7 linked regions of the Ovis aries genome follow. The protein of the gene in region 7 interacts with the protein of the main gene of each other region in a biochemical or structural test. Links are inferred from orthologs where the notes say so. Each region holds a gene or a part of one and is shown on either strand. Other genes may lie near its edges. The genes, in order: FLII, PHB2, SRC, MTA1, AHR, TRIM24 and ESR1.

Region 1 (3,946 bases), on a different chromosome or scaffold from region 7:
ACAGACCAGGGGAAGGCACCATGGCCACAACTGACAGAAGGAGAAACAGGAGCCACCACTGCGGCTCCCTCTCTGCCCAATGTCTGTGTGGTGACACTTTGCCACTTCACGGTGGTCACTGAAGGGCCATCTCGGAAAGTGCAGAGCTCAGCTTTAACCCGACTCCAGAGGTGTGCCCTTCGCATCTCAGGGCTCCAACCTTAAATGGGAACGACCACTGGAATGGCCTGAACATCTGGGATGGGAGGTTCCATGGAGAACAGCAGGGGGAATGACCCATCCAGACCACCTCCCCTGCCCTGCCCTGCCCCAGCTTTATCACTGGGGATAAACCACAGGCAAGTGACCTGCCCCCTTGGTCAGTGTCCTCTCTGTGAACTTGGTGGAGGTTGGGATCACATGAAAGACCCTTGAGAAATAGCTGGAGTGCTGCTCAGCCAGGATCAGCTATCACAGCAGTTCAAAATGGATCAGACTTAGGTTTTTTCACCTTTTCTCCTACGTGTTTCTCAACTCAGGTCATTACTGCATGCTCTCTCCCCACAAACCCCTGACACCAGGGTGGACAGAGGGGTTGGCCTTGCCCCCAGTCCCCACCTTGACTTCTGCAGTCTTGGGCAGCACTCACCCGCAGCGATGGTAGGCTGGACAGCTCCCCATGCAGCGTGGTTAGGTTGTTGTGGCTCACGGACAGGTGTTCCTGGGCCGGCACAGGGTGTAGAGGCTCAGCAGGGTGGGCTGGGCGTCCACAGAGCCTCCACTGGCACCACAGCCTTCCCCTGTCCAAGGACCCTCCCACAGAGCCCCCATCCACCACCAGGGCCTTGCCCCACCCAGGGATCTTCCCACAGAGCCCCTATCTGCTACCACAGCCTTGCCCTACCCAGGCACCCTAGGCCACCCAGGTCCAGTCCACTCTTGCACCTTTCTTCTTTCACACACCTAGTCTTCTTGCATACCTCCCAGGACAGGGTGCTCATCCTCTCTCCACCAGTTCTGCTTGTGACAGGCAATGTCCTGCACAGGCTCTGTCCACCTGGCTAGCCCCATCCACCTGGACCCTCCCCTTCCTGTCCAAAGCTTCTTACCAGCTTCTGCAGGGAGGCCAACTCCTCTGGCAGGTAGCAAAGGCCGGTGCGGTTTAGCTTCAGCCATCGCAGGCTGGTCATGGCCTTGACGTTCTCAGGGAAGTAGCCACCCTGCGGGTACGTCACAGTGAGGCTGGTCTGGGACATGGTACCCTTGCTCTGCCACCTTGTGGCCCCCACTGTCTGTGGGAGCCTTTGGGGGCAATAGTCATTTCTAGTTGTGTGTGTGACCCCAGACACATCACTTGGCCACTCTGTCTCAGTTTTCTCACCCGTAGAATAGGGCTGATGAAAGCCCCCTGATGACAAAAGCGTCCTGAGAACCCACTGGTGATTAGGATGGCTGCTGACCTAAGCCCCGCCTCTCCTGCTGGCTTCTTGGCCCAGGAAGGCTTATTCTAGATGCCACCCCAGAGTCAGCTGTGAGGTCGGATCAACTCAATGTTTTTGCCTTGCATCCAGGCCCTGCCTGTGCAATTTGTTGAACTGCACTTTGTGCCTCTGCCAAGGCCCCACCTGTGCCCTGCCACCCACCCCCTGCATGAGGCCCCAGCTCCCCACCCTTTCCCACACAGGCATAGCTTATTCATTAGTTCACTCACCCATTCGTCCCCCAGACTCAAATGCCCACCTCAGGACCCCAGCCCCGTGGCCAGAAACCTGGGGAGGTTAATGCCTTCAGTGCTCTGGGCTAGTGCCCCTTCTCCCTACGGCCACATTCCCTGCTGGTGACTCACTCTCCTAGACTGAAGAGGACACTTGGGGACTCCAGGTGAGGACGGTGGGGATGGAGGCAGAGGAGTGTGCACGGTGGCAAGTGTGGGTAAATACAGGAAGAAAGGGCCTGTCTCCTCTGCCCTGACCCCAGCCACTGCCTGGACCACTGGACCCTGCAGACCCAGGCTGATGCTCCACTGACGCCAGCCAGGGTCAGCCCACTCATCCACCCTGAGGACCCTCCTGGAACCAGGCCATCTCTCAGGGCCTCCTCTCTGGTCACCAGCCCTCCGGCCTCACTCTCAGTTCTCAAGAACCACTGTCCCGCCCCGAGGCTGGGCTGGTGTTCCCAGCCGCCCTGGTCCGCCAGTTCGGAAGCTGCTCAGACAAATGGCACCCAGGGCCTCGCCCACCTGCCCAACACGTCCTCCACAACTAATCCCCGCCTCCAGGGGTTTCAAGGTAAGCCTCTCCACCAGACGAGAAGACGAGGCTCCGAGAGGGGAAGTGACTTGCCTAAGACCACACAGGATGGGGGTGGCGGGTGCGGGTAGCGCAGAGCCGGCGGCGTAACCATGAGTCAGGGCCCGGCTTGGGCTGTGACCTCACAGGGGCGGGGAGGGCTGGGGAGGCGCGAGCTCGAGCTCCGACCGGGACCCCCGGCCGGCCTGCTGGGGCCAGGCGCCAGGACCCAGCCGGTGAGCAGACCCCGCGCGCCCCTGCGCAGCTCCGGGACCCTACGCGCGCCCGCCCGCCCCGCCCGGCCTGGGCTGTCTTCGCGGGCGCCGGGCGGAGGCCTGGGACGTTGGGCCGGGGCGGGGTCCGGGCAAGCCCGTCCGCGGTCCCGGGCGCGCAGGAAGCGGAGGGGCGGGCTGGGGGTCCCGGCCGTCGCCCAGAGGCTCACCTTGAAGTCGTTGCCGCTGAGGTCCACGCCGCGCACGAACGGCAGCACCCCGGTGCCCTCCATGGCGGCGCTGGGCTGAGGGGAGAGGACCGCGGGCGGGGCCCGGCGCTCGGGGCGGGGACCGCGGAGCCGGCGGGGCGGGGAGCGCGTCGGCCCCGCCTCTCAGCCCGGGGCCGCTCGGGGCCAGCCCTGGGGCGCGGGGCCTCGAGGAGCGCTGTGTCCCGGTGCCCTAAAGGGCCTTCTCGGCCCCCGGCTGTTCCTGAGCTGGTCAACGCCGGGGACCTGGGTGGTTCGGGCGGCAGTGGCAGTAGGACGCCCGGGTCCTCGTCCGGAGCCACGAGCCTCCGGGAGACGCTCCGGGGCCAGTGCCCACACTCTTATGCGTCCTGGGTCGGAGGCCAGCCCGGGTGCGCGGTTACGTGCCCGCTTGCCCCTCGAGGGAGGCCTCCCTGGGCCGGCACATAGCGGTCCCAGTAAGTGACAGGACCAGTATACCCTTCACGGGAGAGGCGGCCGCAGACTACAGTGACCAGGAGCCCCACCGGATGCTTCCTTTGCCAGGAAGGAGCTCACGTTCCCACCTGCCGAGTCCTGGAGCGTGGCCCTGCGCCTTTAAGGCGGAGCTTGCCGAGGAGCCACGCCCCGAGGGGCGCTCGGCCGCCATTGGCCGAGGCCGCCTCAGGGCGGCACGTGGGCACTGGCCTTGAGCGCTCTGATTGGAGTCGGGGCCTGTCCGTCTGCGAGCCTGGGGCCCGTGCCCGCCCCAGGCCTTGGCGTTCGACTCCCGGGTCCTGCACGTTCCATTCCCAGGCGGCCCCGGGGCGCGGCCCGAGCGGCCCCCTGAGTCCCCTGGCTGGGGCGCCGAAGCCGCGACGCAGGTACGGCCGGGGCACGGGGCGTGGCCTCTATCGGCCGCGCGGTTCCGGCCGGGAGAGAACCGGCTCGAGCCGAGTTCTGGTCGCTTCTTGGGCCCATCCTGGCGTTCCCCGGGCCTCGGTGTCCTCGCGGCCGGGGCTTGGAGGAGGCTAGGGGAGGCGTGGCCTTTCCCTCTCCCCTTCCCTGGTTAGGGTCTGCGGGCCCCAGGTCAGACAGGCAGGGGCTTTGAGCGCTTTACAGTTTGGAGGCGGTTGGCAGTCCTGATGAAGGAAGCCGCCGCCGGGCCATGCTGGGTCAACCCCCTCCGCTGTCTTTCCTATTTTTAGCTTGGGAAAGGGGGATGGGTGCGGGGCTGCAGGCC
Region 2 (4,235 bases), on a different chromosome or scaffold from region 7:
AAGATCATGGCATCTGGTCCCATCACTTCATGGCAAATAGATGGGGCAACAGTGGAAACAGCGACTGACTTTATTTTTCTGGGCTCCAAAATCACTGCAGATGATGACTGCAGCCATGAAATTAAAAGCAGCTTGCTCCTTGGAAAGAAAGTTATGACCAACCTAGACAGCATATTGAAAAGCAGAGACATTACTTTGTCAACAAAGGTCGGTCCAGTCAAGGCTATGGTTTTTCCAGTACTCATGTATGGATGTGAGAGGTGGACTATAAAGAAAGCTGAGCACCAAAGAATTGATGCTTTTGAACTGTGGTGTTGGAGAAGACTCCTGAGAGTCCCTTGGACTGCTAGGAGATCCAACCAGTCCATACTAAAGGAGATCAGTCCTGGGTGTTCATTGGAGGGACTGATGTTAAAGCTGAAACTCCAAAACTCTGGCCACCTGATGTGAAGAGCTGACTCATTGGAAAAGACCCTGATGCTGGGAAAGATTGAGGGCAGGAGGAGAAGGGGATGACAGAGGATGAGATGGTTGGATGACATCACCAACACAATGGACATGGGTTCGGGTGGACTCCATGAGTTGGTGATGGACAGGGAGGCCTGGCGTGCTGCGGTTCATTGGGTCGCAAAGAGTCGGACACGACTGAGCGACTGAACTGACTGACTGAGCTATAGTAATTACCTCTGCCCAGTAAACTTGTCTTGGGATGAACCGAGGAACGACACGAAGGACGAAACCTCTCCCCTAAGACGACTTTGGGGTTAGGATTATCACAGAATCCTGGTAAATCAATCGGAAGCAAGGATGTGAGCCGCACAGAGATTCAAGGGCAAAGAAAACGAGTACTACCAACTCAGGATGTTAAACGAAGAGGCAGTCGATTAGGCCACTCCTCCAAAAGCATGTTTCACCCGTCTCTGCTTTCTCCATCCATCACCCCCTGAGCCCACCACCCTCACCACACCGGATCCCATCCTATCGATCCACTAGCTCTCCATCTCCTAGTCCAAGTCTACCTTGACTGTCTCCAGACTGGCTCCTTCCAGCACCACAATGAGCCTACGGCCTCCGATCTTGCTACCCGCCCCAAGTCGGGGCCGCTTGGGCGCCACAGCATCCCAGTCCTCTTCCTGCTCCGCAGCCCGGCGCTCACGAGGTTGGAATGCACCACTGGGCGCAGCCATCTTGCATCCGTATCGGAAATTGTGTAACGTCCTTAAATTGGCCTCGAGCTCGCCCCAATCTCCAGCTTCCTTCCGTCTGCCATTTCGAAAGTGGGCGCTCGGAAATGGAGACAGCTCGAGGTCTACCGCTCGCGAAGCCTCTCTGGGAGGGCAGGGTTCCAGAAAGGGGCTGGACTTCCGGATGCATACTTCCTGTGCGTCCAGTTCCGGTCCGCCGTTGGCTGCGGGGAGGGTTTAGAAAGGAGCGCACTTCCGGTGCCCTTTCTCCCGCGAGCACCTGGGGCCCGGACCCTCGTGTGAAGGGTGCCATCCCTAAGCGGGAGCGAGGTAGAGACGGGCCGGCACCCCCTTCTTACCACTGGTGCCGCCGGCCTCAGGACCGAACATGGCCCAGAACTTGAAGGACTTAGCGGGCCGGCTGCCCTCCGGGCCGCGGGGCATGGGCACGGCGCTGAAGCTACTGCTGGGGGCCGGGGCCGTGGCCTACGGCATCCGCGAATCGGTGTTCACCGGTGAGCAACCTGCGCCCGCTCTCCGGACTCCCACCAACCTTCCCTGGACCCCTTCCCAGGACCCCTTCCCAGCCCCAGCCCCACCGAGGCCCCGCGCTCACCCAGCCCCTCACCCCGCCCCACCAGAAGCTGACACGTACTCTGAGCCCGGCCTGGACTGACTCCCACCCCTCTCCCTGCAGTGGAAGGAGGGCACAGAGCCATTTTCTTTAATCGGATCGGAGGCGTGCAGCAGGACACCATTCTGGCCGAGGGCCTTCACTTCAGGTAATGGCGGGCAGAACTGACTGACCCTGACCCATCACCCTTGAACGTCGACCCACCAGTACCTGTAGTAAGACTGACAGCGAGATTCAGCGCTGCCTTTTCCCCTTCTCACCCCATCTCCCCGAACAGTGGTGCTGCCCAAATCTCCAGCAGCACATACTGTTGTTTTCTGAAGGGAGAAGACAGTTTCTCCTTGACCGTGGTCATTAAGAGGAGGAGCAGGTCAAGAAACACGTGGTGAAGGAAAACACGGCAGAACTAGTGAAATCGCAGCTTCCTAACCCCTATCCCTGTTCCCTTCCCTCCAGGATCCCCTGGTTCCAGTACCCCATCATCTACGACATTCGGGCCAGACCCCGAAAAATTTCCTCCCCCACAGGCTCCAAAGGTAGGTCTGGGCACTGGGACATCCCTGACAGTAAACACGGGAGCCTGGTCAGAGACTGGGGAAGATCGTGGTGTCAGATCTCTTGGGCTTTGGCTTCCACTTCTGCAAACAAGGTGTAATAAAAGCACCTGCTCCAGGGATTAAAGCAGTATATTCTGGACATGCTGTGCATTTGCTCGTTTTCAAGTGTTCCTCCCCCTAGTGTAAACTCAATAAGAGCATTGTTTGTCTTTTGTCTTATTCACTACCTAGGTCAAAGCCTCGCTTTAAAACCTTTCTTTAACTGTTTGATTTATTAATCTACTGGTACATTCTGTTCTGGGGAAACTTGGTCTCACCTATTCCCTCCTACACCATTCACAGATGTGCCTTTGAGATTCCCCAGATCAACCTTACACAGACACAGACACACACACACACACACACACACACAATGAGGCAAGTAGCTCACCTGTAATGTACTTTTTTGCGTTATCTTCAGTGAAGGTTTCTTAAATTCCCAAAACCCTAGGCCTTAAGAGTAAAGTATCCACAAAACAGTCTTTGTTCTCCAGTCCTTACTGTCTAGTTCAGGAGACTGGCGATAACCATACAATGTAACAACTTACAGTGAAGCGTCAAAAATAAAAGAAAGCTTTTCTGGAGGAGAGGCCATGGGTAGAGGAGATTTGACCATGGACAAGTATGCACTTGGCCTGTGCTGAGTCACCTCTCATCAGCCTCCTTACTCTCCGCCCAAGGCCATTCTGGGCCACAGGGCATTGCCCTAGGTAGCCAGGGAAGCACGCACAGGAGAAAATGCCTAGGCAGGGCGGCTTTGCCGAGAGGCCAGGTGAGCCCCCGTAGCCTCGCCCAGCCACTGCTGACCTCTTTCTTAGACCTGCAGATGGTGAACATCTCCCTGCGGGTGCTGTCCCGACCCAATGCCATGGAGCTGCCCAGCATGTACCAGCGCCTGGGGCTGGACTACGAGGAGCGAGTGTTGCCGTCCATTGTCAACGAGGTGCTCAAGAGCGTGGTGGCCAAGTTCAACGCCTCCCAGCTGATCACCCAGCGGGCCCAGGTCTGATTCCAGCTCCCCTTCCCTCCCACAGCATCAGCATTTCCCTCCAAAGCCTCGTGGACGGGCTTTTAGGAAAGCCAGCCCATTAGGAAAGGACTGTAACCTGAGGTCCTATACACCCAAAAAGCCGTGCTGATGGCCAGTGTGGGGAACGAGGGCCAGGCCTGGTTAGTGTCAGGCAGGGAGGGAGAACCGTGGTCTAGACCCGCACACACGGTTTTGGAAAGAGTGGAGCTTAGGAGTCCGTGTGACCGAGGCCTCTCCAGCTTTGCAGGCTCAGTGAGGAAGTCGGAGAGCCTCAGTGTGCCCCTGCGGTGTTCTGGAGATCTGGGATTCCCATGGTCACGGCAGCACGCCTTCCTTTCAGTTCTCCGGCCCCCTCAATGCCCCTCTCCCGTCCGCCCCCGCCCCCGCCCCCCAGGTGTCCTTGCTGATCCGACGGGAGCTGACCGAGAGGGCCAAGGACTTCAGCCTCATCTTGGACGACGTAGCCATCACCGAGCTGAGCTTCAGCCGCGAGTACACGGCCGCTGTGGAAGCCAAACAAGTGGGTGAGTCAAGCGAGGGCGTCCGAGGAAGCAGGCAGGCGCGACGGTGTTCCCGGTGCCTCGCGTCCCCGTGACCCCGATTCTCTCCCGCCACAGCCCAGCAGGAGGCCCAGCGCGCACAGTTCCTGGTGGAGAAGGCAAAGCAGGAACAGCGGCAGAAGATCGTGCAGGCGGAGGGTGAGGCCGAGGCGGCGCGGATGATATCCTTCCACAGAAGCGCTCCCAGCGCGGCCCCTCCCCTGTAGGCTGGCTGATGAGACTTAAGGCGAA
Region 3 (4,039 bases), on a different chromosome or scaffold from region 7:
TCCCAGAGCCTCCCCCAGGGGCCCTGGGACATGTCTGAGCTGAAAGGAAGAAAAGAGTACTGTGTCCCCTTCTTTGTTGAGGAAAATGTTGCTCCCCGCCCCCCGCCCCTGTCACCACCTCCTGGAAGCCTCCCAAGGTCTCCTACAGCTCCCACTGCTAACCCATCACACACTGCTCAGCTCAAGATCAAAGCCCGTAGAACATCATAGGTACTCAACACAGGGCCATGGATGCTTGTATCTCGGCAGGTTTGGGAAAATGGGGTCAGTTGAGGTTCAGGGAATGGGTGGTTGGTCACAGGCCACTGAGCCGTCTCCTTCCTGGCTCCTGGGGTTTGAGGGAGCCAGACAACCTCCCCCCACCCACCACCCCACCACTCCCAGGTCAGGTCACAATCAGGGTAGAAGCCAAAGCAGGAACTGGCTATGCACTGGGGATACTTCACGCCTGGGAAGAGGCTAGGGGAGAGGAGGAGAAAGCTGGGAGGCCTTCCTGGAAGAGGTGGGCCTTAAACGAAGCCTTAAAGAGCAAAAGCAGACAAGCAGCTCTTAGAGGAGAGGGCACTCCCGGCAGGGAAACCCTCAGGAGCAAAGGCCCTGGAGTCACACAGGAGGGCCTAGGCAGGCAGTCAGCTGAGAGGTGACACACTGTAAATCATTTCCTTGGGTGGAAAGACCACATCACCACAGCACACCACCTCACCCAAAGGGCCTCGTGGCATCCACACAATCACTCATCCGAGTCTCTTCCAACACTGTCGTGTGCCTGGTCCCATACTGAGAAACACCCATTCCTCCATCACGGGAAGGGAACAAGGACAGCCCGACCGGGCACTCTGAGCTCTAGGCTCTCATTCCAGCTTCAAACTATGTGGCTCGGTCAAGTCACTTCCGCTCTCAGAGCCTCAGTTTCTTCCCCAGCAAAAAGGGGATACACAAAAGTCCCTACCTCCTAGGAGGTACTCGATAGATGTTAGCAGCTATCATTCTCACAAGCCCATTTTATACTGAACAAACCTGAGGCCAGAAGGAGAAGCGAGTTGTCTCAAGTGCTGGGTGGCAAGACTGCACTGAGGCTGGTTCCTCCTCAAGGGGTTAGGAGGTGGCTTTGGGGACACCGATCCACCCTCTTCTGGAATAAGCCCCACAAGAGCCAGCCATCTCATCTCATGCCCATCTTTTTCAGGCCATTCATCCAGTGCCATGCTCATTTATTGAACACCTACTACATGCCAAGGCCCTACCTGCAGAAGTGCCTACAGGTTTCCCCTGGGGATCCCCACCGCACACAAGCAGACTCAGAGGGGCGGTCCTTTGGCCCAGGTAGCCCAGTGTGACCAGAAGCCGAGGTCTTGTCTCTCCAGCCAGAAAGCCAAGATGAGGGTCAGCAACAGCGTCAGCCTGCTCCATTCTTAAAATCAAGTCTGATCTCAGCTGACTGAAGCCAGGCCTGGAGTCACCCCAGGTGATCCAGAGACCACTGCCCCAACTGGACAGAGTCCCTGAAGCCGGGGACACCTCACCCAGGGCCCCACAGGCTCTGCCGACTCTCAAGTCCGCCTGAAGGCCCCAGAGGTTGAACTGCTACCCCACAGGTGAGCCCCTTCTGTTCACCCAGTCCTTCCACCAGCCCAGTAGGCTCAGCCAGGCCCACAGCTGGACCTGACAAGGGCCCCCAGCTCAGAGAGGGCAGGCAGTTGCTCAAGGAAGCACAGCAGGGCAGGAAAGCGGAGCCCCCACTGGGACTCAAACCCACCACCAACCCCAGCCCAGGCAGGCAGATGGACCCGGCCTGGGGGCCAAATCTTAAACTTTTGCCAACTTCTGAGCAGACCGGAGGTAGGGCCTGCCCAGAGAGGAGGCTGGGGGCTGTGGGCAGCTGGGACCAACCACAGTTTGGCCCAGTCCTTTCCAGGCCGGCAGCACCAGGCCCTACCCAAGGCCCCACGAGGACAAGGAGATCCTGGTGTTCTGGCCCGGCACCCCCTGCCCGGCGCCCCCCCAGGCCCACCCTGCCGGCCCTTCTCCACCTCCCATCCCGGGCTGGGGGCGCCAGGCTGGGTAGCGGCGGCCAGAGGCGGCGCCGACTGGTTCAGATTTCAGATTTGGCCTAGACCTGGCCTGGGGGCTCGGGCCCGGCTCGCTGCTCTCAGGGGGCCCGCAGAGGGAGCATGAGCGGGAGGGGGGGGTCCTCGCGAGGACAAGACCCCTACGCCCCCCACCAAACCCCTCCCCCCCCCCCGCGGCATCACAACAAAAGGCCGCGCCAGACAAGTCCCGGTGCGCCCGCCCTGCGCCCCGGGATCGCCGCTTGGCTCGAGGGGTGAGGTTTGGAGGGGGGCAGGAGCCCCCGCGGCCCAGCGATCGGACGCCAGGGTGGTCCCCGGGCGGGGGGCTCCCTCACGCGGGCCGGGAGCCGGGGCCGGCGGAGGGGCGGGGGGCGCTCACCTGGACCGGCAGGCAGACGGACGCACCGGGCAGACAGACGCACTGGAGGACGGACCGCCGGACGGCCAGGGGTTCGGGCACACGGCGGCCTGGCCGCTCCGGCTCCCGGGCCGGAATGGATTCCGGGCCAGGAGAGACAGATCGAGAGAGAAAGGGAGGCGGAGGAGGAGGAGGAGGCGGCGGCCCGGGGAGGGGAAGAGGAGGGAGGGAGCGCGCGAGCAGGGAGGAGGGGCCCGGCAGGCCGCCGGGAGGGGGAGGAAGAAGGAAGCGTGCCGGGACGGGTCCCCGCCGGTGACCTGGGAGAGTCCCGCGCGCGGCCTCCCCACGCCCGGGGTCCCGGCGGCCAGGGAATGGAAGGGCGGGGGCTCCGGCCACGGAAGCCCCGCCCCCTACCCCGCCCTGAGAGTGCTCCCTTCCCATGGGGCACCCACCCATCAGCTCTCAAGCCAAAATACCCTCCCCAACTCCTCCCAACCCACCCACCCAACTGACCCCAAGTCTACCTCTCATGAAATTATTACTGATAATCAGTAACAGCAGCACTGATGGAGAACTCATTCCTTACCCGGTGCCATGCTAAGCTGTTCAGGTCAACTTTAGGATCTATTCCTACCAACCAAGTGGGCTGGGCAGGCCAATGATCACCCCCATTTTACAGATGAAGAAACTGAGGCACAGAGAAGGGACTCACCTGACAAAAGCCAGGTCTTGGACCCTGGCCTTAACCTGAATTTCCCAAACTGGGGACTGAGACAGGCAGGACAGTGTGGTAAGGAGCAGCATTTTTATCTTAATAGCTATGCATTCATTTTAAAGTGCATCAGAAGAAAAAAAAAAAGTAACTAAGAAGCCAATAAGTTCCAGATAAGGAACTTATAAAGGGCTTCCAGTAAGCCCCTTGCTGCTGCTGCTGCTAGGTTGCTTCAGTCGTGTCCGACTCTGTGCGACCCCACAGACGGCAGCCCACCAGGCTCCACCACCATCACTGGGACTCTCCAGGCGAGAACACTGGAGTGGGTTGCCATTTCCTTCTCCAATGCATGAAAGGGAAAAGTGAAAGTGAAGTCACTCAGTTGTGTCCGACTCTTAGCGACCCCTTGGGCTGCAGCCTACCAGGCTCCTCCGCCCATGGGATTTTCCAGGCAAGAGTACTGGAGTGGGGTGCCATTGCCTTCTCTGAGTAAGCCCCTTAGGAGGGGCCAAAGCAGGTATTCAGTGGCAATTATAGTCAGTGGTAAAGAACCTGCCTGCCAGGGCAGGAGACGTGGGTTCGATCCCTGGCTCGGGAAGATCCCCTAGAGAAGGGAATGGCAACCCACTCCAGTATTCTTGCCTGGAAAATTCCACGAACAGAGGAGCCTGGTGGCAGGTTTCAGTTCATGGGATTGCAAAGAGTCAAACGCAACTGAGCACATGTGCTAGTCCTGCCTTTGGCTTTTCACAGGTCCTCCTGGGATTACTGCACAGGGGAAGGTGGGCCTGAATCCAGCTTTAAATGCCACCATCTGCCTCTGTTTTCCTTCTCTGAAAGTTTTCCCATTTCACAGATGGGAAAGTAAAGCCCAGTCCAGGTCAAATGGTAGAAGCCTGG
Region 4 (3,500 bases), on a different chromosome or scaffold from region 7:
CGCCTCTGGAGTGGGGTCTGGGTGTGGGCCCCCGGGCGTCGGAGGAACCACCGGGACGGCACCAGCAGCGCAGCCATGGGGGGAAGGGCGGGCAGTCCGGATCTGAGCGGTCGAGCTCTTTACCCTAAGACACCGCAGGGCTGGGTGCCACCGCGCCCGGCCCCCCGTGCCAGCCCCTCACCACCAGTGCGCTGATGCCAGCTCAGCAGACACTCGCCCACCACCCGGGGTCCTGAGGCCGGAGGCCTCGTCTCAGGGCAGCTTCTCCCTCGGCCTGTGGGTGGCACGGGGGAGCCCAGGGCCCAGCCATGGACGCTTCTGTCCTGGGCAGCACCTGTGCCAAGGGCCAGTGTGCTCTGATCAGCAGGGGGCATGGGGCCACGAGGAGGGTCTGCAGAATGCCCACCCGGCGTGGCTGGGCTGGCATGGAGGACACATCACACCCACCCTCAACTCGGGCGCCTGAGCTGAACACCTGCAGACGCCCTCGGCCACGGTCACTCTTGGCAGGAACCCGCTTCCAGGCCCAGGACCCCTGTGCACTCGGGAAGCCCATGGAGCCTGGGGTGGGCATGGGTCAGTAGGGCCGGCACGGCTGAAAGTCACTGGGGAGACACGTGCCCCCTCGCCCTGGGGAGGTCACCCTGGCGGGCTACAGGGGCGCGCTGGGCCAGGGGCCCATGGAAGGGAAGCCCGGCACCGCAGACATGCAGGGCTGATCCAGGGATGGGGCGCGGAGATCCGAGAGCCTGGGGTGCCAGGTCTGTGGGACGCAATGGGGCGTCTGGAGGATGGGCATGGTGCACTCCCTCCTGGCAGCTACATGGCACTGAGACCCTCCCCAGGGAAGCCAGGGACCCTCCCCTTGGATCTAGGCCCCAGTGACGTGGCCAGGCAGCCAGGCCCAGAGCCCCAGGTGCAGTGGCACCCCCGTCCCAGTGCCACGCCAGCGGGCGGGCAGCATCACGGCACACTCTGTGGCCGCCACACACACTCACAGACGGGGCACAGGTTCACACTGGCAGGGTCCATGCCCCAGGAGGCACGGGGAGACAGCAGGCTGAGGCCTTCGCCAGGGTCCCCGAGTCAGGAGCGGGAAAAGCCTGGGCTGTGAGCAGGGCTCGCCCAGGGCCCCTGAGAACAGAGGCTCAACCCCGCCGAGCACCCAGGCGGTGGGCAACGTGAGCTCTTTGGACACTTGAGCCACCAGCGTCCTCCTGAGGCCTCACCAGGAACCCTTAGCCACCCCGCGGGAGCACAGGCCTGAGGGGCCCCGGGGACTCCCAAGGACGCCTGACCCCGGAGGGGTGTCTGTGCGGGAGATGCAGTGCGGGGGCCCCCAGGATGATGCGAGTGCTCATGGGGCCGGAGGGAGGGGCGGCCAGGCCCGCCTGCGACGGAGCTGGACACGCAGGGCGGACGGGGGAGCCGCCCCACCACCCGCTTCCCACGAGCCTGGCTCAGCAGACAAGCAGGCGCCCCGAAATGGAGACCGAGGCCCCGGCACGGAGGCGGGTGTGAGCGTGTGAGTGAGGTCCGAGTGAGGTGTGCCACACGTGTGTGCTACAGGAAACGTGCACACGGGCCAAGAGCAGGGCCCAGGGTGAGCGGAGCAGCTGGGGGTCGGGAGGCGCGGCAGCCGCGGAGAGGGGGCTTCTGGGGATTCCTGCACAGAGGAGCCTGCGGTGCAGAGCAGAGGGGAGCCAGGCCTGGCCCACGCCCCACCCATGCGGGAGATGCTCGCCAGGGCCGCCTGAGGACGAGAGCAGAGCGGCCACGCGCTCCACGAGGGACCGGGGACCCCAGGCGGCCTGGGCACCTCACACGGGGCCAGCTCTGCGGGGACACCGGCTCCAAAGAGAGCAAGGTGCCCAAATGCCCCGAGGCTAAGCACGTGTGCGGTCCAGCTGCCAGACCCGCCTCACCGAGCCGCGCGAGCAGGACGGGAGAGGACAGGACGCCCACGAGCGTGGACCCCCGCGGCCCGCTGCGTCAGCCCCACGTGCCTGGGCGAGGCCACCACCCGAGGGACGAGGGCCACTCACGGCAGGTCTGCTGTCAACCATGGGGCCCCTGCAGGAAGCAAGGCCTGGGGGGTCATCGGGGCCCGAGTTCCTCTGTGCTGCGTGCATGGGGACAGAGTGAGCTGCAGGAAGGGGTCAGGCCCACCCGTGACCCCGGGCCGCTGGAGGCCTGAGCGGGCAGGGGAGCCGGGCACTTTGTCCCCTGAGCACGGTGGCCTCGTGGACAGCACCGTCCACCAGAAGTCAGTGATACCAGCAATCACTCAAACGAGCTCTTTGAACAGAGAAAGAGCTTTTAAAAAGTTATGAAAACAGCTGCTAAGAGGAAACAACGTCTCCAGGTAGCGTGGAGGGTCCAGCGACAGGCGCTGGGGTGCTGGGCCCGCCGCGCCCCCACCCACCTTCTTTCAGCAGGTCGGTGATGTCCGCCTGGTACCGGTTCCCCACCCGGATCTCCCCCTTGTCTGCCAGGAGGGTCTTCTGCTGGGGGTCGTAGACCAGGGAGTAGAAGAAAAAGTCCTGGAAAGCAGCGCGGGGCGGGGCTGTCACGCTCAGCGCCGCGGCCACGCGGGCAGCCCACGAGCCGCCTCGAGCCCGTCAGCGGCAAGCCTGCAGCTTAGTTTACAGAGGCATTTAACAGCAGCAAAACCCCGAAGACGTCTGGGAACAAAGCTGACAGACTCTGGGCTTGGCCTCGGAGGAGACGGCAGGGCTCCCATGCAGTTGTCACAGGAGACACACAGAGCAGCCACGTGACAGGACGTCCCGGGCCTGGCGCCCAGAGCTGGCTGCCCCCAGCCCGTGGGCACCGTCCTTGGCCCCCAGGAAGCGGCATAGAGCCGGCCTGGGCCGCTTCTCGAGAGCAAGCCTGCCACCCAGGGCTTCCCCTGGCGCCTCCCTGTATCCCGCAGGGTCTACCTGGCCCCGTGCCCCCGCTGTGCCCCTGACTCCACTGTGGCTGTGCCCCCACAGCCCTCAGCCCCAGGTGGCAGCGGGCAGGGGCTGCCCCCGCATCAGGGCCAAGGGCTCCTGGGCGTAGGTCCCGTGGGCTGCAGCTGTGCGCCTGTGCGGCCAGCCCCTCGCCTGGGCCACCCCCCTCTCCTCGGAGGCACCCCCTTCCCCAGACGGGTGAAGGAGAACAGCAGAAGACGCCCGCTGTGCACCCCAGAGGCACACGCGGTGCTTCGGCAGGACCCATGTGCCTCCAGAGGTTGCTCACAGCCGCCACGGCACTGCTCGGGCGGCTGCCACCGGGGGTCCTTTCCCAACTGCAGGCCACGCGTCCGCTCCCCAGGGGAAGCTGTCTGGGGCCATGGCCTGGCTCTGCCCGCCACCTTTCCAGGCCACACCAGGCCTCCCGCAGGCAGGGGCTCCCGGGGGGGCCGGGCTGCCCCAGCAGTTCCTCTGCGCCGACTCCAGGCTCTCGCCTGGCGGTTCTCCAACCCGAGTCAGGCATCAGGGAGGCTGCACACCAGG
Region 5 (4,255 bases), on a different chromosome or scaffold from region 7:
ACAAGATGAATTTTTCAGACAATATACCAACATATTAGAGTGTCTATTAGTTATAGTAATTTAACTTAAAAAACATTAAAATACTGGGTTTATGGCTCCATTCTTAAAATGGACTCTAACTGCATTTTAAGTTCATCATTTTTCATTCAGTTAAAAACAATTTATGAACAACTTCCCGTGATTCTGTAAATGTCAGCACTAGGCTTTTCTTATGGAGCAGTGACATTTTAAGGCGTTTGTAGGATTAGAAGCCATGCATGATGCTCAGTAAAGATCTGATAAACATCTCTGCTAACTAGATAAAATAAGGGTGAATGTGGAAATACTTTGGTTGTATTACAGGAGATATTAAACACAAATATATTAAAGTCTTAGAAAGCATATTTAATTGCTAATAATAAAAGGTACATCCTTAAAAAAAAGAAAATGTGCAATAATATATTTACAGGGAAAATCTTTAATAAAATGGTAACAAGAAGCCCCAAATGTTAAACTTTAAAATGAATACAAAAATTAGAGCATTTCATTGAAGTCACCTAGGTCCTGTGTAACATACTTCCTGAAATGCAATAACTTAAAATTCTCAGGTTTTCTAACTATACAAATAAAACCTATGATATACATATATATATTATACATTATGTCAAGTGTACTTTTGTATTAACTAAAATACACAGAGGTGTCTGTGATGCCTTTCAATTTTAAATAACCATCAAGGACCAAGTCAAATTAGACAAGCACATTTTTTATAAGAAACCATTCTATAAAACACAAGTATTGTAAACCAATGTCAACAGAATTGCCAAGATAAAAACTGCTGACTTGACAGTATTCCTAATGTCAACCACGCTGCAGGATAAGTCTTCCAAATTTTAATCAGTCTATTTATAGATGAATATCCTCTGTTGATGCCAAGTCTAAATCTGAAGGACTGCAATCACTGAAATTCTAAAAGGAAATTAAAACCCCAGAATACTGAAACCTTTAAACTGGTCTTTAATATTAATTTTAAACTGCTATTTTTCTGGTTTGGATTAGTGACCTAAATTTAGTCTTAAGCCACATGCACACTTGTGATTTGTTCTGAGTAACCGTTTAAAGTGTTCTTAAAATTGTTTATGAAAGTTTGAAAAATGTGAAGTAAAATAACTCAAGGATAATAATTAGGAATAAACACATGAACATTGCCAACTCGAAAAAGTAAATCTGTGTTAAGCATGGATTTTTCTTTTTTTTTTCTGAAAAAAATTAAAGTATTTGCCATAATCACATAAATATCCCACCAAAACAAACAAACCTAAGTTTGTACTTTATCAGAATTGACCAAACTTTGAAGTAGAGGGAAAAGGGAATTAAGAGAATGATGCTAAGAATGAAAATGTCTGTTTCAATAATTCCATCTCCAAATTATTTGCAGACCCTAAAACCACTTCCAAAGTGATAAATCTCCCCCAAAAGATGACTTAAAATACAAATCTTCTACTGTATCCTGGCTACTACACTCACTCAAAGCTGCTATCACCTCTATACATTTTATTGATATGTTCACGCTGAGCGCTACAAAATTACTGCCAAATAAGTAAATAAGAGTATAACAGAAAGCCAGTTTCAGGGAACCAAAAAATACCTTCAGAGGCACTCAGCCCCTTTCTTGCACACAGCACGTGTTTAGCTATTTAAAGCATCTCGCCCTACCAGGAGTAAGAATGGTGACCGTCCTCTAACCTAACAGAGGAGGATATTAAATGTGAAAGGGGATTTCAAGACGGGCTTAGGTTAACTAATCCACCAGCCCCACAGGGCAGAGGAGAGCTGTTAACAAATTAGGACCACAGCACAGTGAACAGCGCTGCAAATGGCTGGAGGTGTGAAAGGGTGCTCTGGAGAAGGGGTTCGGGGGGGGGGGCAGAGAACGGGGGGCACAATTTTTAAAATGCAATCATTAATCACGGAAAAATCCAAGGCCTGGGGTTCTCGACCGGCCTCCAGATCTCGATTCCACAGACTGCACAGGGAAGGGACCTAATCCCCTGGCCTCGGGGATTTGGGGGCGGGGTGCGGCAGTGTCCCGCGCCTGAGCGCCCACCTCCCCACAGCACAGAGGACAGGCTCCGGAGACTCACGTTTTCTGCACCGGCTTCCGCCGCTTACGACTGGCGTAGGTGATGTTAGCGCTGCTGCTGTTCATGGTGCCTGGCTGGCTGCGGCTCCTCCCGGGCGCGGACGGCCCTGTCCCCGGGACCCGGCGGCAACTGGGACGGGGTTCCACTTAACCGCGGCTGCTCCACCTGCGCCCTCCCGGGGCGATGGCGGAGACACAGCACCCCAGGAGCCGCAGGGCTTCTGCAGCCCCGCACGTCCAGGTGCGCGGCCCGGGCCTGGCGCCGAGGGGCGAGGGGCGGAGACCGGGGAGGCTGGAGGCGCAGGTGCCGTCTGTACCAGCTGAGGCGGCGCCGCGCTGCCCGCAGGTGAGGCGGCGCGAATGGAGGAGGAGCCTGGGCTGTCTGTTTGAAATCCCGGCCTGGGTCGCTCGCTGTGGCGGCGCGCCCCGTGACCGTCGCTGCGGCCCCTTGGGTGAGGGAGGCGCCGCCGCGCTGCGCTGCTCCCGGGATTTCCCCGATCCCGGGTGCTTCCCGCCTGCGGAGCTCGGACTCCGGCCGCTGCTACGGGTGCCACCAGCTTCCGCTCGGCTATGCGGCTACCTCTGGTCTGAGCCGGTGGTCCCAGTCACGCTTTCAGAACCTAGCGTCAAGTGGACTCGCCCTGCGATGCCTCCCGCTGCTGCTTGCACCGGCTGAATAGCAGAAGCGCCCCCGACCCCTCTCCAGCCCCGCCCCGCCCCTCGTAGCCCCGCCCCATCCTACTTGGCCCCGCCCTCCGCTATATTTCCCTTGAGGGCCCCACCCTCCCGGCACGTGATGACGTAAGGCGTAATGACCCCCACCCTCTCCAGTAGCCATCTTCTTGAGGTCAAGGGGAGGAATCTGTGGACACATTTCCAGTCCATAAAGACATGTGACGACAAATTATGTGTAGCCAAAGTCTTTGTAATCAGACAACCTCAAGGAAAGAAATGCCAAGTAGTGAGCTTAAATTCACCTTTGCAAGAGACAGTGAGTCAGCCAACTTTTGGCTAAGCATTACAGTGAGCTGGCAGATAACCTGTGGAACTATAAATCTTCCTAGAGGAGAAGGCTTCAGGAGGCCACATCTCAGTTGAACTTGAAGGCTAGGCATTTTTCTTGTCTTTTTGTTTTGAGTTTGATTTTTGTCTCCGTACAAGACAGTATAGTATCTTTTCCCCAGGCAGAATAACTGTTACACTACAGTCAGATTTCAGGAAGGTGGGAAGGCAGGCAGCAGGAGGCATTTGAGAATAAGCAGTCTGGTATAGCTGGAGAGAGAGAAGCTGGAAGTGAAATCCAGGAATCTAGGGTCAAATCATAAAGCCTGATCAAGAGTCCACATATTATTCTGCAGTCAGTGGAAACCTTTGAATGATCCACAGCAGGCAAGAGACATTCTAGTGTTTTGGAAGTTTTAAATGACAGTGCAAGCTGGATTACAGGAGAAAAAGACTGGATGCCGAGAGAGTAGTTAGAGTTGTTGAAGTAGTCCAGGTGAAAGTCCAGGGAAGTGACAGTGGGATGGAGGGGAAAAAGAGCAGATAATAAGGAAATAGACAAACAAGAGAGAGCAATCTCAAGTACCTCCAACATTTCTGACTACTCCTGTGCCTTTACCCAGAAAAGTAAACACAGGAGTGTGTTTTGCTTGTCAGGAGAAGGGCAATCAGACTAAGAAGTCTAGATGAAATCTGGCACCATGTCCATTCCTACATTTCAAAATGTCATCAAGCCATTTCCATCCGGTGAGTTTGTTACCTCACATTCAGAACATCAATAAATTGAACATTGTTTTCTTTAGCTGAAACCTCACTGTCATATACTCAACCATTATCCTATCAACCCTATGAAATATCTTCAACTCTTCTACAACTTACATCTAAATATTCCAACAAATACTATTTAATTTTGTGTATTGCAACATCCCTAATTCATCTTCTGCCACGTTATTCTTCAATAATAACACAAAAAATGCCCAACTCAAATGCTTTATCATTTGAGATTCCTATCCAAATATGGCGTGCTTCCCTCCTAGCTCAGTTGGTATAGAATCTGCCTGCAAGGAGGGAGACCTGGGTTCGACTCCTGGGTGGGGAAGACCCCCTGAAGAAGGAAATGGCAACTCACTC
Region 6 (3,500 bases), on a different chromosome or scaffold from region 7:
TTGTATAATCAAAACAAAACACGCAAACCTGACTGTTCTCACTGGATGTGAGAACAATACCACAGAGTATTACTGACTCAGTTATCTCTCTATGATGTAGCAATTGAATGACAACAACAGCTAGTTCTTTACACCTTCATGGCGCAAATTGTGTTAGTTCTCTGATGGCGAACACCATGCTTTATAACTACACTGTTAAAAAAGAGATTAAAGGTACCTCTCACAGGTCTGGTCCAAGAGTAGGGCAAAGCTTGATTTCTTCAATAGCAGAGACTCAGTTAAAAGTTCCTGATTTACTAAGCATATGCATCCTTAAAGATATGGTTATCATTCATTAAATACTTACTCCACATTAGGTACCATGATAGGAGATCTATGTATATTGTTAAAATCCTTCGTACAGATAAGGGATCTAAGGTTCAGAGAGGCCAAACAACTTATCCAAAGTCACAAAGACACTAAACTGAATATGCGTCCAAGACACTACTTTTCCCTTGCACTCTTCTGTAACATGTTTCTCAGAAGCCATAAATAAACAAGTTTGGGAAAGTTGTATCCTTCTTAGAAGATTTAAAACGTCAATCTCACTTTAAACGACAATTTATAGAGCTATATATGACACCTCTGAAAAGTCCTACAGTAAAGGATACTGTCTTACAAATTCCTCACAAACAGGAGGTGTTTTTGTTTTTGCTGATTCAGATTTACCTAAACTATATTCACTTATGTGCGTACAGTTACATATTTTCTTAATTTTACCTATGTCTACATCATGTGGACTATGTTTTAAGTGATATGCTTATAAGTACATATAAGTCAACATGACTGTTACTGTGGATATAAAGCTGTGATAGATTCTCTGTATAGCTATATATGTGGTGGAGGGTAGAGTAGGGTAAGAGATAGTTATATACATGCTTTGTATTAAGATGCTTCTTTTTAGTTATATAGATGAGAATATGTATGATACCAGCTGCTGGCTATGTTTATCAATCAATAAATACGTACTTCTAAACTGTGCTGAGGAGTCACCTTATCATTTCTTCAAAGGGTCACATTACCATTCTTACTGTTCTCACATATGGATGAGATTTATGTAAGCCTATTTCTTCCCTTCTTGGAGTGTTCTGAGAGCACTGGCTCTCCTTCCAGCCAGTTCTTTCTTACCCAGAATCTAGCTTAGAGAATGAGAGAGCAACCCTATTTGATGATTTTGAAACAAAGTCAATAAGCCCCAAAACTGCCAAAAGGTGGTTAATGAAGAATGTATATGAAATTCTTATTTTTGTTTCTATAATTTCCCTGTGAGAAATTAAGAAAGGAGGCAAAAATTGAAGATTTTTTTTACTAGTACATAATGTAACAAGGACTGCCTGCAGGGATATGTGATGTTACCAAATGATACTGAAATTCCCCCTTTTTGATAACTCTAGTACTTCAAATTTGGGCAGTTATCTATATGCATGATACACTTCAATTAGGAGGTTAAAAATTATTTAATTATTACATAAAAGGAAAAACAAAAACAAAACACACAGAGAGAATTCCTCCCTACCAAGAAAAAGCAAATAAATGAGCCATTAGTACCTGACAACTGGGTCTCAAGAGTGAGTAAGCCAAGAATTGTATGAGAAATACTGTTTTAACAGAAAACATTCTAAAAAGTACTATATTAATGGCAGACACATGTAAAGAGTTTTAACAACTATTCTGATAAATATGTCACTAACAGCACAACTTGCTTGAGGAAGAAAAACAACTCCTAAATCCAGAAATCTAGACACTGAGTCAATAAAAGGATGTTTCATATCACCCACATATTTATATGTGTGTTTATATTCATGCATGTGTCACAAATATACACACACTAATGAAATACCAGGAAAAATCCATCTCTTTAAAACAAGATAATAAAAATATTTAGGGGGTAGAAGGGAATACATTTTCAACAATCTCATAATCATTAAGAGTTCCAGAAACAAATGGCACTTTGAGAAAATCTACATAACAGCCTACCTAAATTGATTATATTTTGAGCCCAGAAGCTAGGATCACAGTGAAACTGGATGGTATTGTTGGTCACTGGGGAAGCATCACACCTTGCTCGAAGGAGGTGCCGTAACCGGTACGTAATCTAGAAGAAAGCAGAGACAACTGAGCATCCAAGTCTTTATTAGGCAAATAATTTATCAAGTTCCCAACAAATACATAAAAAATGCTCTCTATGACATATATGCCAACACAAAACAAGTGTTCATAAGTAAGTTATAAAAAGTGGACAAACACAGTTTTTCTTCAAAAATGCGTTAGAGGTTTAAGTACAATTAGTTTTACTGTTGAACACAAAACAAACCTTTCCTAAAGTGACAGGTTAAAGTTAGTTCACTGAATTACAGAAGTTTCACAGATGTACCAACCACATATTTATAAAGTAAACTCACACACTGCTTTTATTTTACTCTTTCAAAGAAGGATTCAAAGTAGAGATTAGGGGGCTAATGGATTACAAAAAATACAAATGAATCTCTGCTCAGGACATTAAGTGCAGCCTTGACCAGGCCTGCTAGTAGGATGGCCCTTCTTGCTCCTGTGCTGTGAATCTCAGTCATCACACCACCTCCCACCCTCCTCCACACTGCAGTCCTCAGTGAATGCTCAGTCATTCTCTCAGTCTTTGAAGAGTTCAGCTCTTGGCTCATAATCACCATCTCCAATATTATTCCTGCCATAATCCTAGATGGGCCACAGAACTGGAAAAGCTCAGTTTTCCTTCCAATTGTAAAGAAAGGCAATGCCAAAGAATGTTCAAACTACCAGACAACTGTGCTCATTTCACATGCTAGCAAGGTAATGCTCAAAATCCTTCAAGCTAGACTTCAACAGTACATGAACCGAGAACTTCCAGATGTACAAGCTGGATTTAGAAAAGGCAGAGGAAACAGAGGTCAAATTGCCAACATCTGCTGGATCATAAAAAAAGCAAGGGAATTTCAAAAATAACATCTACTGCTGCTTCACTGACTCTGCTAAAGTCTTTGAACTGTGGAAAATTCTTAAGGCGATGGGAATACCAGACCACCTTACGTTTCTCCTGAGAAACCTGTATGCAGGATAAGAAACAATAGTTCCAACCAGTCATGGAACAACTGACTGGTTCAAAATTGGGAAAGGAGTATATCAAGGCTGTATATTGTCACCCTGCTTATTTAACTTCTATGCAGAGTACATCATGAGAAATGCTGGACTGGAGGAATCACAAGTTTGAATCAAGACTGCTAGGAAAAATATCAACAACCTCAGATAAGCAGATAATACCACTCTAATGGCAGAATGTGAAGAGGAACTAAAGAGTCTCTTGATGAAGGTGAAAGAGTGAAAAAGCTGGCTTAAAACTTAACATTCAAAAAACTATGATCATGGCATTTGGTCCCATTACTTCATGGCAAATAGAAGACGAAAAAGTGGAAATGGTGGCAGACTTTATTTTCTTGTCTCCAAAA
Region 7 (3,500 bases):
AGGCGGGCTGGGAAAATCTCGGAAGATCGCGGCTGGAGGCGACCACTTTGGGAGAATTTTTTAGACGAGGGAAACTGAGGTCAGGTAGCACTCTCCTGAAGGCAAAACTCGGCTCTTCCTATACGCACACCTTGAATCTCCGCCCCCTTTCCCCGGACGCCTGCGATCAGTCTCTGCAGCTGCTAAATATAGCTGTCTGCATCGGCAACCGCACACCCCACTCTATCTACCATATCTCGGTTACAGAGTGGTCCTCCCCAGGGTCATTCTATGTACACACTACGTATTTCCAGCCAACGAGGAGCGTGAATCAAACAGCACGGGAGACAAACAGAGATAGATTGGAGCCTGGCACGGGGCACATAAGGTAGCACGTTAGAGAAAGCTGGCCCCGGGATGAGTCTTCCGAGTTGGTTTGAAACCCGTCTTCTCCGGGCCACCTTTAGGAGATCCCTCGGCGCCCCCGCCCTCCTGCCGTGAAATCCAGCCTCTATCCAGCAGCGGCAAGTAAAGTAAAGTTCAGGGAAGCTGCTCTTTGGGATCTCTCCAAAACGAGTTGCGCGCCTGGAATGATGTTGAAGGCAACGTCAGGGGCAGGCAGCAGCCCCTGGCCGGGGGCCAGCACCTTTGTCATGCCTATGAGCTCGGGAGAGCTGTACTTAAAGTTGGAGACCCGAGCCCGCGAGTTGGCAGAGCGTGCTCGCGCAGGGCTGCACTTGCTCGCGTCCGGCGGCCGCCGCGCTCCTCGGGACGGGGCCGGCTCCCCGGGGCCCGGCCGGCGCTCGCGTCGCGGCGGGACATGCGCTGCGCCGCCTCTAACCGCGGGCTGTGCTCTTCTTCCAGGTGGCCGGCCGGCTGCTGAGCCCTCTGCCGCGGGGGGAGACGGTCTGCGCCGGCCCGCGGCCGCTCACCATGACCATGACCCTACACACCAAAGCGTCCGGCATGGCCCTGCTGCACCAGATCCAAGCCAACGAGCTGGAGCCCCTGAACCGCCCGCAGCTCAAGATCCCCCTGGAGCGGCCCCTGGGCGAGATGTACGTGGACAGCAGCAAGCCCGCCGTGTACAACTACCCCGAGGGCGCCGCGTACGACTTCAACGCCGCGGCCGCCGCCTCCGCGCCCGTCTACGGCCAGTCGGGCCTCCCCTACGGCCCCGGGTCCGAGGCGGCGGCGTTCGGCGCCAACGGCCTGGGGGCCTTCCCGCCGCTCAACAGCGTGTCTCCGAGCCCGCTGGTGCTGCTGCACCCGCCGCCGCAGCCCCTCTCGCCCTTCCTGCACCCGCACGGCCAACAGGTGCCCTATTACCTGGAGAACGAGCCGAGCGGCTATGCGGTGCGCGAAGCCGGCCCTCCCGCCTACTACAGGTAACCCGCGCCGCCCGCCGCGCCCCGTCGGGGTGGTCGCCGCGCGCGGGGCGGCGGGAGGGAGCGGGGGCGAGGGGCCGCGCGGCGCGGAGGGAGCGGGGCCCGCAGGCCGCGGGGCTGGGCGCCCGGCCGCAGCCGCAGCCCGAGCCGGGGCCGCGCGACCCGAGGGCTAGCGCGCCGCCCGGCCTGGGGTCACGGGTGCATCTCGTGTTCTCGAGAGTCAAGTTCTCTGGCCCAGCAGCTTAAAAAAAAATTTTTTTTTTTAATTTTAATTTTTTTTCCTTCTCCACCGCCCCCCCCCCCCGCCCCCATGTCTGCTTGATACGCAGATCTGAAACCCCGTGTGCTTCCTAACTAAACAAATATTGGAAAACCGTGCAAAGCAGAGGTTTTTTTAGTTGGGGAGGGGGACACCCCAGAGCCAACACACATAAGGTGCTTTGAGTCCCCAGAAAAGGTCCCGCTTTGGTACTTAAGGCTGGAGGTGTTTGGGACTCGCTGAGCTCAGTGTTATTTATTTATATTAGTAGTAGTATTTAACAATTTTGTTTTACTGTGCTTGCCAAATTTCCCTGCTCCTCGATTTTCGGGTTGGAAATATGCACGCTCTGATAATGATGAGGATGGTGGTGGCAAAGGTGATTTCCTCGGGGAGCGATTTCTGGCCCGTCTTTCTCCCCGTCCCACCTAGGAGGGCTGCGGGGCTGAAACGCGCCCCTCAGAAGACCCTAGAGTTGGATGGGTCTTAAGGAGTTTTCTGATTTCTGAGTTACCCGGACTGAGTCCGTGTCAGAGCCCAGTGCTGGCAGAAGACTTCTGACATCCCGAGATTTATGTGTCCTGTGAGTTTGAAACATGCCACATCGAAGCACGAGTGTTTTGAAATACTTTCCTTACAGCTAAGTTTCATTTCTGGCCTACGGGGCACAGAATGCCCCCGGGAGTGCCGTGCCCGAGTTCAGCCCGGTTCTGTGCTTTTCCTTCAGGGGAAGAAGCAGATGGTAGCTCAGGGCACACAGGGACGTTTTTCTGACTTAGAGGCAAATGTTTTGTGTCTTCTTCTTTTTTGTTGTTGTTGTTGTTTTTTTTTTTTTTTCTTTTTCATAGAGATGACACTTTCCTTCTCCCTTCTTGCTCTCATTTTCCCTTTGACAATTTCTCCCTTCTCTTCCTGATGGACTCCAAAAGGGCTTAGGCAGGGAGTCCTGGGGAATACCAGTGCTCTAGGTGCTGCTGGACAGGGGTGCCACGGAGTGGGTTTGAGAGACCTTAGGGCGCCCACGTGGCTGGGCGTTGAGTTAGGCACTGTCTCATTGTACACTGGTGTCTGGACCTGCCTTTCATCCTTAACCCAGACCCTTCTGTATTGCAAGCTGGGATGATTTTCCATTCAGTGTTCTATTTCCAGAGATATTTATAGTAGAAGCAGCAGGAGGAAGGTGCCAAGTGGCCCCAGAGAATTTGAAGGGGAGATCATGGGCTATCTGAGCACACTCCACATCCTTTAGCCTCTGAAAAGATTTTAGAACACCCCACAGCCAGGCAGGTCCAGCCTGAGTTATTCCATAGAAGACTCACTAGGATGAACAAACTTTCACAAGTTGGCGTCTGTCAAATTCATTTTACTTGTTTTAATTCAGGGTTAAAATGGGAAATGAAAAAGAATTTATTCTGCCTGCTTTTTTTTTTTCAAGTGTTAGAACAAAATCTAACGATTAAGTCTGATTCACACCTTTTAAACTCCTTGATGTGAAGGAAGGCATTGATATGATGTGAGTTCCATAACCTCGTGGTAGACTCCAGAAACTATTTTCTTTTCCATTTAATTTTCAGTTCTTTTATTGCAAATTAATGCCACTGAATTTCAATGGGCACTAATGAGACTGCTTCTCAGTGGATTATTTACTGCCTTGCCAGTAATTACAAAGTGAGCATGGTCAAATGAAGAGGGGATCACATTTTATTCAAAATTGTTCATCATCCCAGTGGCAAATACTATCCCTATAATATGCCCCATCTTAAACTTTTTGCGTTAGATAATATTCTGGTACTTTTGAAAAAAGAAAAAGGGAACTTTCAAAAATAATAAAGGTAAAAAACTCAGTACGTATGGGATTCCAGATGGAAATTCAT

What was found.
Region 1: the proteins of ESR1 (region 7) and FLII form a complex in vitro, tested with the Homo sapiens proteins (2 studies listed by BioGRID). The link is inferred for Ovis aries from reciprocal best matches to the Homo sapiens genes ESR1 and FLII.
Region 2: the proteins of ESR1 (region 7) and PHB2 form a complex in vitro, tested with the Homo sapiens proteins (3 studies listed by BioGRID). The link is inferred for Ovis aries from reciprocal best matches to the Homo sapiens genes ESR1 and PHB2.
Region 3: the proteins of ESR1 (region 7) and SRC form a complex in vitro, tested with the Homo sapiens proteins (3 studies listed by BioGRID). The link is inferred for Ovis aries from reciprocal best matches to the Homo sapiens genes ESR1 and SRC.
Region 4: the proteins of ESR1 (region 7) and MTA1 form a complex in vitro, tested with the Homo sapiens proteins (4 studies listed by BioGRID). The link is inferred for Ovis aries from reciprocal best matches to the Homo sapiens genes ESR1 and MTA1.
Region 5: the proteins of ESR1 (region 7) and AHR form a complex in vitro, tested with the Homo sapiens proteins (4 studies listed by BioGRID, with this or other methods). The link is inferred for Ovis aries from reciprocal best matches to the Homo sapiens genes ESR1 and AHR.
Region 6: the proteins of ESR1 (region 7) and TRIM24 form a complex in vitro, tested with the Homo sapiens proteins (4 studies listed by BioGRID). The link is inferred for Ovis aries from reciprocal best matches to the Homo sapiens genes ESR1 and TRIM24.

What each region holds. Positions count from the first base shown.
Region 1 is NC_056064.1:34,134,148-34,138,093, reverse strand, and holds the start of FLII (protein flightless-1 homolog), read right to left. Parts: upstream 2,801-3,946; 5' UTR 2,773-2,800; coding exon 2,710-2,772; intron 2,504-2,709; exon of another isoform or gene 2,399-2,503; intron 1,200-2,398; coding exon 1,089-1,199; intron 739-1,088; coding exon of another isoform or gene 701-738; coding exon 629-700; intron 1-628. UniProt on the Homo sapiens protein: Is a regulator of actin polymerization, required for proper myofibril organization and regulation of the length of sarcomeric thin filaments. It also plays a role in the assembly of cardiomyocyte cell adhesion complexes.
Region 2 is NC_056056.1:209,334,061-209,338,295, forward strand, and holds the start of PHB2 (prohibitin-2), read left to right. Parts: upstream 1-1,435; 5' UTR 1,436-1,572; coding exon 1,573-1,699; intron 1,700-1,881; coding exon 1,882-1,966; intron 1,967-2,274; coding exon 2,275-2,354; intron 2,355-3,232; coding exon 3,233-3,417; intron 3,418-3,838; coding exon 3,839-3,968; intron 3,969-4,061; coding exon 4,062-4,165; intron 4,166-4,211; exon of another isoform or gene 4,212-4,235. Other genes in the region: EMG1 (ribosomal RNA small subunit methyltransferase NEP1), read right to left, coding at 1,020-1,187.
Region 3 is NC_056066.1:66,271,955-66,275,993, reverse strand, and holds the start of SRC (proto-oncogene tyrosine-protein kinase Src), read right to left. Parts: upstream 2,801-4,039; 5' UTR 2,449-2,800; intron 1-2,448. UniProt on the Homo sapiens protein: Non-receptor protein tyrosine kinase which is activated following engagement of many different classes of cellular receptors including immune response receptors, integrins and other adhesion receptors, receptor protein tyrosine kinases, G protein-coupled receptors as well as cytokine receptors.
Region 4 is NC_056071.1:67,465,616-67,469,115, reverse strand, and holds part of MTA1 (metastasis-associated protein MTA1), read right to left. Parts: intron 2,544-3,500; coding exon 2,426-2,543; intron 1-2,425. UniProt on the Homo sapiens protein: Transcriptional coregulator which can act as both a transcriptional corepressor and coactivator. Acts as a component of the histone deacetylase NuRD complex which participates in the remodeling of chromatin.
Region 5 is NC_056057.1:26,779,255-26,783,509, reverse strand, and holds the start of AHR (aryl hydrocarbon receptor), read right to left. Parts: upstream 2,801-4,255; 5' UTR 2,189-2,800; coding exon 2,124-2,188; intron 1-2,123. UniProt on the Homo sapiens protein: Ligand-activated transcription factor that enables cells to adapt to changing conditions by sensing compounds from the environment, diet, microbiome and cellular metabolism, and which plays important roles in development, immunity and cancer.
Region 6 is NC_056057.1:103,687,324-103,690,823, reverse strand, and holds part of TRIM24 (transcription intermediary factor 1-alpha), read right to left. Parts: intron 2,135-3,500; coding exon 2,017-2,134; intron 1-2,016. UniProt on the Homo sapiens protein: Transcriptional coactivator that interacts with numerous nuclear receptors and coactivators and modulates the transcription of target genes.
Region 7 is NC_056061.1:76,603,930-76,607,429, forward strand, and holds part of ESR1 (estrogen receptor), read left to right. Parts: intron 1-214; exon of another isoform or gene 215-367; intron 368-843; 5' UTR 844-912; coding exon 913-1,367; intron 1,368-3,500.